3 linked regions of the Arabidopsis thaliana genome follow. The protein of the gene in region 1 purifies or fractionates together with the protein of each later gene. This does not show direct contact. Each region holds a gene or a part of one and is shown on either strand. Other genes may lie near its edges.

Region 1 (3,762 bases):
TCATTCATCTGCTGAGGGCGGATCAGAGACTTGCTACCTTTATACATGTCTCCATCGTGAAAGATATGGGCAACTGTGTAATAGGCCATATAAAGAGATGAATCAGATAAGGATTCCACTAGGAACTGTTCATCCCAGGGAATACGAGTTCCTAAACCAAAAGATCGTGAGCAAGCCCACTGATTGAGCCAGCTCAAAGTGTGCTCAAAGCCATGCCTTGTTTCATCAGAGTAGAGATTCATCTTTGATAGGCATTCCTCAGCAATTTTCCGCCATTCTGATTCGCCGTATGTTATGTACCACTGATCTGTAAGAGCCACAACACATTCATCACCCGATCTTGACATCACCGGCTTCTCGGGTTCACTGTATATGATTGCCTCGCCAGTCTCTATGAGCTTTGTCTTGATAATGGGCTTAATTTCTTGAACTTTCCTACCAAAAAACTCTCCAATAAGCATGGTTCCTTCGGTAAATCCTTTCAGGTAAGTCAACCTCTTAGCCTCTGCAAGCTTTTCCTTATCGTTTTGGCTTTTAATTTTCAGATCCAAGCAGACCTTTTCAGCAGCTTTATCCCCAAATTCCGGAATGTTGATGATCGGTATGATTTCAGTGGGCAACCATTCCGTTTTCACACCATACTTATCTTGAAGAGCAGGCTTTTTGATTAAATCTTGTAAAGCCATGTAATCATCAGGAGCATCACTAGGCACACTGGTGACAATGCCAGTACCTTTGTTGGTCAGAATGGTCAACATGGGCAGAGCATAGATGATCTCGTTGACTGACAGAGGAGACCTCAAAGGGAGTCCAATCAGATCATACCCGGTCAACTCAACCAAGCAGGAAGGCTCCTGAGGGTTCTTCGAAAAGTTCTGGTACGCAAGGTTGAGCGCAGCTCTCTCAGTAAGGATGAAGACCTCAGTTTCGCTGATTTCATAAGCTCCATATTTCCCATCAGGTAGTACCCATGCGTTTGTTTGTCCATACATGGTCTCAGGCCTCAAAGTAGCTGCAGCCAAAAACACTCTCTTGCCTTCCAAAGGACCCAGTTTCAGAGGGAATGGCTTGACTACTTCCATCTTTATGAGTGTATACTCTTGAGGCTGAACACCTTCCCCAGTAGCACGGTCGTGATCAGCACAAGGCTGGCCATCTAAAGGTGAGAATATAGTGTACCTGCGGTCTTTAACAATCTTTCCCATAGATTTCAACTTCCTCATCTGCCACCTCACAAAGGCATCGAAAAAGGGATTAACATCAGTGGTCACAAACGAGCGTCTCCAATCACAACCCAATCCATATGCCCTTAGATCTTCAACAGCCAAAGGGGGAAAGTAATACAACCATTCAGAAGGCTCTCGGAAATTTGCAATCTCACTGTCAGTAAGACCAAAACTGCGCATAATCTCCCACTGATAAACCTGTCCACCAGCTTTGGCAGCAACCTTAGACTTCTTTCCCTTGAACTGACCCGGAATCGGTAAAGCTATAGTATCACTGCTCTCCTCCTGAACTTCAGGAACTTTGGTGGTGTCTTCAGCAGTAAACACAGGAGGGTTACCAAACTGTTCAATCTCACGACGAAGCTTATCCGCAGAAGCCTTAATTGGCATACCAGTACAATGGAAACCAAATGGAAGAAGCACATTAGCTCCTCTTAGCCTATGGTAAGCAGAAGCAAAATCAACCTTGGACAATGAAAAGGCATGCCCAATGTGTAGATAACCATTCATATACGGGAAAGGGAAGGTTGAGAAAAACTTTTCTCCTGGTTTTGGAAGATTCTCACAAGATTCGGCTCTGAATACATCCTCGTCTTCCCACCACTTTCGAACAGTGGCCTCAATCTCAAGAAGACGATCTCTCCTAGCGTAGCTTTTCGATTCCGATGCCATTAAGTGACAGTGCCTACCCCAAAAAAACGCAAACCTCTAATTTAGATATCGGCTTCTTAAGTGCAACACAAAAATCGGTAGATTGAGTCTACCAGCTTGGGGAGAGAATTACCTTAGGGATGATGAACTTTGAGGAATCACGAATCGAGCCCACCGCGAAATCGATCCGAGATTTGACAGAGACAGAGCCAGTGGGAGAGATAAGTAATGGTTTCTAGGGTTTTTCTTTAAGACTACCTTCTTCAGTCTTTGGATTCGACGGCTGATTATTAAACTGAACTAGTCTCGCCAAAACCGGATCCAAGTCAAACCCATTTAGAATTTGGGCCACATCCACTAAAAGGCCCAGATATTTGGGGACTTCAAAGTTTTTTTTTTTTTTTTTTTTTTAACTAGTAGACGTTCAATTTCTTTTTCTTTTTTTGTTTTTTTTTTTTTGTTAAATAATATTCATGTTTTCTTTCTCCTCCCCTTTTCAAATGTTACTGGTTTTTTATTGTGCGATGCTTATGTCGTATATTATATATGGTGGATTGTTTAATGGTATAATTTCATTGTATTTGCAGAAATTTAGATTTGCATGAAAAAAAATGTTGAGAAATTTGAGTTACACCTCAAACTTGAAAGATTAGTAATGGAAGCAAATCTAAGAGACTAATAGTTAAAAGAATTCTCGACTTTGGTTCTAGAGAATGTGATTGATTAATCCTTTCAATCTTTCATCAACACCACACAACATGTTTAGTTAGTTATGATAAGATAAAGAAACCATACATAGATAACATCTTTCAAACTCTTTAGATTCTCAAGAGTCTAACCTTTGTTAAAAATAAGAAAACTATATGATAAAAACAAGGGATGCAAAACAAATATATTGAAAATTTTCTTCAAACGAGATTATTATTTGGCTTAGCTTGTGCCTTCTCGTTCGTCTTGCTCTTACCATCTTCTTTCACTGGATCCTTCTTCTCCAAAGTTACAGAAGACGACGCTTTACCATCTTCTTCTATCTCAAGAGGTTTCGAGCACCACCTATCGAGCAAATTGCATAAAACCGTCACCATTATTATTCCTGCGACGATAATACACCATCCCCAGATTGGGATCTCCATCTTTTTTATGTATTTGTTTTCAGTGACAAAGAAACAAAGTAAATTGTTTGTTGATGATTACAAGTTGCTTAAAAGTTGTTGATATTATAGGAGGCGGGAACTACTCGAAAGACTTGGAAATTTACCATTTTGACAAAAAACTTGCTAGAAAATAACTAAAATAAAAGTAAATCATTCTTCTAATTTTTTTCAATTTATCAACTTTAAAAGTATATTTCCTTTTCTTCATAAATCTCATAAACTAGCAAAAAGATAATGTCATAAACTAATACTATAAAATATATATTTTGTTTTTTTTGTTCCGTCAAATATATATTTTTGGTTTTGCCTGTATTCTTGTTGACTTCCGTTTTTTTTTTCCCCCTTTTTTTTAATTAACTTCCTTTCTTTGCTTTTCCATTTCTTCTTGATTGAAAAATGTATATTGTGTGATTTTGTCTACTTTATTTAAATTATCTTTGAAATCGAAGAATTTCTGCTCTATTAAAAATTCAAACTATAGTCTACGTTGGTATTTGTTTATTTCATTTTATACTCTGCTTATTTTTCTGATACTACATTACAACTACCACTCAAAACTACAATTAATTCCCTAAAAATATTTTTCGTTTCCAAAATTTGTTTTGTGTGAACGATTCCGAACTCCACAATTGATATAAAAAATTATCTTTGAGTTATATTATCAACAACAGAAAAAAGAAAGAAAACAAATACAACGCAAGCCTTGAAATAAAGTCTCATAGATATTTGGC
Region 2 (3,098 bases), on another chromosome or scaffold:
TGCAAACTATATATTAAAATATTTATATAAAAAAATATTTTATAACATGATGTCATTTGCAATATAATGCATAATCATTTAATTTAAAAATCACTAGTTTTAGAAAATAAATCGTCTCAGGGTGTATCGCGGTTAAAATCTAATTTATCATTATTATTACAAGTGTTGCATCTTTTTGGGATCTTGATGTTTGAATCCAGTTAAAATTAATGGAGCTCTTGGCACTTTCTAGTTAATTCAGGAGATTATTCACAATAGTCCTTTTCCATAGTTGATCGGATTCTAGTCAAAAAAGTTTCTTTTTTTGGGTTCAAAAGGAAAAAGTTATAAGAAATGAGTTTATTAATTGTTTAGAATGAGTGGAAAAAAAAAAGTTTAGAATTAGAAGAAAAGAGAATGAATTACATATCAAGAAGAAGAAAAAAGGAGAGTGGAATTACATTTACATGACATGTTGTCATATTGATCACTGTAATATATCGAACCTTAGGGTTCTAATGCTAACACGTTAAAATAAACAAGACAATAGAGTTAGGCAGTGAATAACTTGAAATAATAGTATTATGCAGTCCGGCCCCTATTCTTCGCCGCAAGACACATCTTATGTCGGATTCTTGTAACTGCTGCAATCATGGAGGTTCTTGCACGAAAATAAGTATGGTCTCTCAAATACTCTAGAGTCAGCTTCGATTTAGGAATTGAGTACGGAGTTTCACTGCGGTGATCCACTGTTCCCACATCAATGAACTTCTCAACGTTAAGCTCGATCATCTCCTTCGTAGCTTTACCTTGCAGAGGAATCTTCAAACAACCATCTATGGACTATGGTAAGACTAGTTCTTGTAGTAACCAACTTGCAGCGATATGACACAGAAGCATCCACCTTGACCTGAAGATTCGCTGCGCAGGATCCATAGTTCACTTCAAGAAAAGTGAAACTTTTTCCTAGCTCCCTTCCCTTTTTTAACCCACCCGCTGGTTTGGAATTTCTCACCGGCTAATCCTGCTGCCGTCCGGTCGACACAAAATCGATCGAATACGGGTCCGACTCAGAGAACAGAGATTCTGCACCGTTGATGACGAGGCACCCATATCTCTCATCAATATTAATATTATTATTTTTTATGTCGATTGTTTTAGTTAATATAAACAATTAAAACAAAAATTTATTTTCATTTCAGAAACTATTGAATATTTTCTATTTTTTACTATCTTTTATTAATACTTTTTAAACATATCAAATTATTTTTTTTTTGTTCAATTGTATTAACTATTGACTAATTAGAGTTATTTTGTAGAAACAAAAATAATTTAATATTTGGTAAGAGTTTTTAAAATTTTCTTTTATTGTATCAACTAAAACAATAATAATTTATTACTTTCAATTCAAATTAATATTAATATATATAATTTAACATGTATAATGTGTCGACTAATATATCTTAAGAGAATGAAGCCACAAAGGTCCACTTATAGATAGATACGATCTTATTCTACCATCCCGAGTGACCTTTTTTGAAATATCTCTAGCTAAAGTGTTATATTCATCTATAATAAATTATTATACAGTTAATGAAAATTTGGAAATGTTATAAAGTTTTATAAGTGGCATATACGTTATTAGGCCTAGGCGTTTGGGTACTAGTTCAGGTTAGATTATGGTTTTAGAGTTTAGGTTTGGAGGCTCCATACATGTATTTTATATATGAGGAATTGGTTAGATTTGAAAAAAAACTTTGTTAATTTTTGGATTTTTCGGTTATTTTAGGTATTTTAGTATTTTTGATTTATTTATTTTGATATTTTTAGATTTATAATAATAACTTTTGAAATAATATTTATATTTCAGTTTCGGTTTGATTATTCGGATATTTATTAGTGTTTCGATTTTTCATATTGTTGTCAAAATTATATGAGTACATTTGTATAAATTCAAAAAATTTATACACAATGAAAGAAGTATATAACTAAATAGAAGCAAATAAATAAATAAACAATGATGTGAGTAAACAAAAAAATGAAAGAAACAATAAAACAAGTAAAGTAAGCATGTAAGAAAACAACTACAGAAGTAAAGATACAAAGAATCAAAGAGGAAACATGTGAAAGAGCTAAGCCATGAATGAATCAGTTGAATAAGCGACTGCCAAATAATCAAAGAAATCAAGAAATTGACGATAAGTAAACAAGTGAATTGCATGTACGGTCTGAGCAAACAATGAAGGGAATAAGAAGGAAGTAAACACACAGATTAAGAAATGAAATGAAGCAATATGGAGTGAGTAACGATCAAATAATCAAAGAAACAAACAAGAAGTAAACAAGTTATAAATGTAAGTAAACAGAGAGAAAAAAAAAACAAGCAAGCTAGTTAAGAAATCAAATAAGTAAATAAGCAATCAATAAATCAAGAAAGCAAATATGCATAGATTCATGCATGAATGTAAGCATGCATGTATATATGAATGTATGCATGTATGGATGTATGAATGTATGAATGTATGCATGTATGAATGTATGCATGCATGTATGGATGTATGAATGTATGAATGTATGAATGTATGAATGTATGCATGAATGTATGGATGTATGAATGTATGCACATATGAATGTATGCATGCACACATGACTATATCACGCTATCAAAGAGGTCGATGTAGATTTTCAGGTTGTTCCTAATGGCAGTTGGACATTGCCGCTAGCCGTTATGCTCCAAGCATGCTTACCTATTCAGCCGCGAGACACTAGTCTTCCCAATCTAATCAATTTCTTTGGAGGAAATCATTTGATGCTCCAACAAGTATGTTCTCTACGTCTCTTACGTGCCAAATCTACAACATGTGGCAAAATAAATTGTCTGTTATAGGACAGTAAGGTTCTCACAAAAACTTCTGAAACATGCTAATCTCTGTTTTAGGACAGTTACCTTCCAGGAGACCATCTTCGTCAATGGGGTTTGGTGGTTCTTACCGCTTGTCTCCTTTGTGACATTGATTTAGAATGCCGAACACACCCATTTTTAAGCTATAAGAGAAAAGTCAAAATATTAAATCTCTACAGACGAAGATACGATACCTGTATAGATTCTTTGAATTATC
Region 3 (3,762 bases), 3.1 Mb from region 1:
TTTTTTTTTCCGCCAAAAAAATATTTCCGCCAAACTTTTTTCCCGCTAAAAAAAAAATTCCCACCAAATTTTTTTTCGTAACAAATATTTTCTCAGCCGAAAAAATGCTTTTAAAAATCCTTGTAAATTTTTTTTGGCTAGAAATAAATTTACAAGGGATTTTAAAAGGGTTTTAAAAGATTTACAAGATATTTTAAAAGGGTTTTAAAAGATTTACAAGGGATTTAAAAAAGGTTTTAAAAGATTTACAATGGATTTTAAAGGATCTTCTTGTAAATTCTTTGAAAATCTTTTAAAAACCCTTGTACATCTTTTAAAACTCATTTAAACCCTTTAAAAATATCTTGTAAATCTTTTAAAATTCCTTATAAATCTTTTAAAACACTTTTAAACCCTTTAAAAAACCTTTGTAAATTTTTTAAAATCCCTTATAAATCTTTTAAAACACTTTAAACCCTTTAAAAATTTTAAAAAAACCTTTGTTAATCTTTTAAAGCCCTTTAAAATTCCTTTTAAATATTTTAAAACCCTTTTAAAATCCCTTGTAAATCTGTTAAAAACCTTTTAAAATCCCTTGTAAATCTGTTAAAAACCTTTTAAAATCCCTTGTAAATCTTTTAAAATCTCTTGTAAATCTTTTAAAACTCCTTTTAAAATCCCTTGTAAATCTTTTAAAACCCTTTTAAAATCCCTTGTAAATCTATTTCCCGCCAAAAAAAAAAATGCGGGAAAGAAATTTTTGAAAAAAAAATTTGGCGGGAATTTTTTTTTCGAAAAAGTTTTGCGGGAAAATTTTGGCGGGAAATTTATTTTAGAATATTTTAGACGAAAAAATATTAATATTTTATTTTGTTAACCTAAAATAATTTTTAAATAGGGGTAAAATGGTCATTAAAAATTTAAAGAGGGTATAAATGAAAATGGATAAAACAAAAGGGTAGAGTTGAAAAGGGGCATTATGAAAAGGGCATTAGAAAGAATTTTTCAACTTTCTAATGTAAAGTGGTTGAACTTTGTTTACATAACAAAAAAAATTGTTTTGATTAATCAAAGAAATGAATTGACTTTATTATCCATTAAGACAACAATGTTTGAAAAACTCGATTACGTGAATTTGATGAATAGTTTTGTAGGCAAAAATCTAAATAGAGCTATATTTAAAAATATAATTTTGTTTTTTTCCCTCTTTTTTACTTACAAAACGCTTATAAAATGTTATAAAAAATGTTCTATAAAGTTTTAGTATAACTTTTATATATTATTATTATTTGTGATTATGCAAACAAATAAAAGACACAATTTGTTTATTTTCATAAGGCATTTTTGCATGACAGACCGGCTCTGCCGTTGAGACGGTAATTTACTATTGCAAGAAACTCGCAAACGCCAAATAAGGGATGTATGTGACTAAGGAACTATTCTTCGACATAAACCGCGAGGTACGCTTACGTAATCCACACAAGCTCGTCAAACTGGTGAAGGTTAGCCCCAATCCTCGTATTTAACATTGCGCTTTGTCAAAAAAAATGCTATTGAAAAGGGCCCAAAAAATTCTGAATGTTTTTTCAAAGATACATCCTATAAATTGAGGTTCACGGCAGAGGATAGGTTTGTTTCATCCTCATCGGGATGATTCTTCGACATTGGTGGAGCAGCAGAGAACGAAGACGATGAGAAATTTGTAAAAAGTTGTGAGACGGACGTCGATAGGTTTTAGTTTCGGACTTTGGAGTTTCAGGGAGGGAGACCTTGTTTTTAATTTTGAAGCGTACTATGGGCCATGGGGGTGTCTTTTTTCCCAACAAATAGGAATTTTTGATATTTTAATATATTAACTTTAAATTATTATGAAACTAACAAGTTATTACTATTTCATAACAACCATTTATAGTTTATTATAATTAAAGCAATAAACGATTAGTATAGAAAATGTAGATTTTTTGCCCCAAAAAGAACATAAAGATATAATTATATCTATACATATTGGGAAATATATCTAAGGTATTTTTTCAACATTTTATAAAATAGTACTCATTTAATTCATTATTAAAATATTTCAACTAAAAAATAATTATTAAAATACCAAATTTTCTAATTAAACCCCTAAAATAAAATGGAACAGAATTGTTGTAAAGAAAGAAAAAAGATTAGACACTATAGAAAAAATAATAATAAAATAAAGGAAGAAAAGACAAGAATGGAAACAATAAAGAAGATTGTCGAACACTTCAACTTATCAAATATGAGCTTAATTAGGTTAACAATCTTGTATATTGCAAACGATATATCTCTACAGAAAAGATGAGCATTGTGCCTTCGAACGATCTTGTATATTTCAAACGATCCAGAAGAAACCTTTAAAATAGCTCTATTCTAACATATTTCGAACTTGCTTTCTTTTGTCAACAAGCATGCATCTTATATTATTGTAAACGACAAATCTTATTATATGAAGTATGGTTTTCAAAGTTACTAACTCATAAGATTATGCCACATGTCAAGTCTATCGATCAGATGTTGACATGTGTAAGAAAATAATTAACTTTTTTCTTCTTAAAGAAATAGAAATACTAAAAAAGAAATCAATTAACTTTTTTCTTCTTAAAGAAATAGAAAACTAAAAAATAAATCATTATTAACATATACTAATTCATATTTCTATATCTAAAAAATCTTACATTTTATTTTTCTTAACCAAAAGGAAAATTAACAAAAAAAAAAATTATATATGTTATTGGTCAAATTTTTAATATATATGGTATTAACAAATGTTTTATTATTATGAATTATGTTTTGTTAATTGTTAATAATTTTTAATATCTTATTATATAAAGTATGGTTTTCAAAGTTACTAACTCATACGATTTTGCCACGTGTCAAATCTATCAATCAGATGTTGACATGTGTAAGAAAATAATTAACTTTTTTCTTCTTAAAGAAATAGAAATACTTAAAAAGAAATCAATTAACTTTTTTCTTCTTAAAGAAATAGAAAACTAAAAAATAAATCATTATTAACATATACTAATTCATATGTCTATATCTAAAAAATATTACATTTTATTTTTCTTAACCAAAAGGAAAATTAACAAAAAAAAAAAATTATATATGTTATTGGTCAAATTTTTAATATATATGGTATTAGCAAATGTTTTATTATTATGAATTATGTTTTGTTAATTGTTAATAATTTTAATATTAACTAAGATATAGATTTGATCTCATATATATATATATATATATATTATTTTGACATGAAATCATTATCAAGTAAGATGAAGTGTGTAGAATTAAAATCGAGTTTTTTATGAAATAGATAGTTAAATTGTATTACAAAATTGAATGTATAAGATAAAAATTTATTTTTTCTTCTAAATACTAAATTATAATATAAAAAAGTGTGTAGGTTACTATTTAGACTTCAAATATCATCAATAAGACTGAATGGGTATAACAAAATAAAATGCATAAGACTACTATTTTACTATTCAAAATTATAAGAACAATGTATCGACTATTATTTTACTATTCAAAATTTAAATATTATCGATAAAAATTACATTTACATCTTACACCCGCCTATTTAGGCGGGTCTTATCTAGTTATTTATAAATAAAAGACAAGAGAACAAGAAGAGAAAACATTATAATTAGTATAGTCGTACGTCTTTACCCATCAGTTGTGATGGTGGAGCCGATTGGTTGCCAATACTCACGCATAGGCTCATTAATAGGATAGACAATAAGCTCACGAAGGGTCATT

Evidence for each region.
Region 2: the proteins of AT1G09620 (region 1) and AT5G38750 fractionate together in Arabidopsis thaliana (co-fractionation; one large-scale study listed by BioGRID). This does not show direct contact.
Region 3: the proteins of AT1G09620 (region 1) and AT1G18130 fractionate together in Arabidopsis thaliana (co-fractionation; one large-scale study listed by BioGRID). This does not show direct contact.

What each region holds. Positions count from the first base shown.
Region 1 is NC_003070.9:3,114,558-3,118,319, forward strand, and holds the start of AT1G09620 (ATP binding/leucine-tRNA ligases/aminoacyl-tRNA ligase), read right to left. Parts: upstream 2,143-3,762; 5' UTR 2,011-2,142; intron 1,912-2,010; 5' UTR 1,899-1,911; coding exon 1-1,898. Other genes in the region: AT1G09625 (uncharacterized protein), read right to left, coding at 2,786-3,010. UniProt on the Arabidopsis thaliana protein: Catalyzes the specific attachment of an amino acid to its cognate tRNA in a two step reaction: the amino acid (AA) is first activated by ATP to form AA-AMP and then transferred to the acceptor end of the tRNA.
Region 2 is NC_003076.8:15,520,644-15,523,741, reverse strand, and holds AT5G38750 (asparaginyl-tRNA synthetase family), read right to left. Parts: upstream 1,093-3,098; coding exon 995-1,092; intron 954-994; coding exon 884-953; intron 802-883; coding exon 562-801; downstream 1-561.
Region 3 is NC_003070.9:6,233,777-6,237,538, reverse strand, and holds the start of AT1G18130 (Class II aaRS and biotin synthetases superfamily protein), read right to left. Parts: upstream 1,645-3,762; coding exon 1,597-1,644; intron 1-1,596.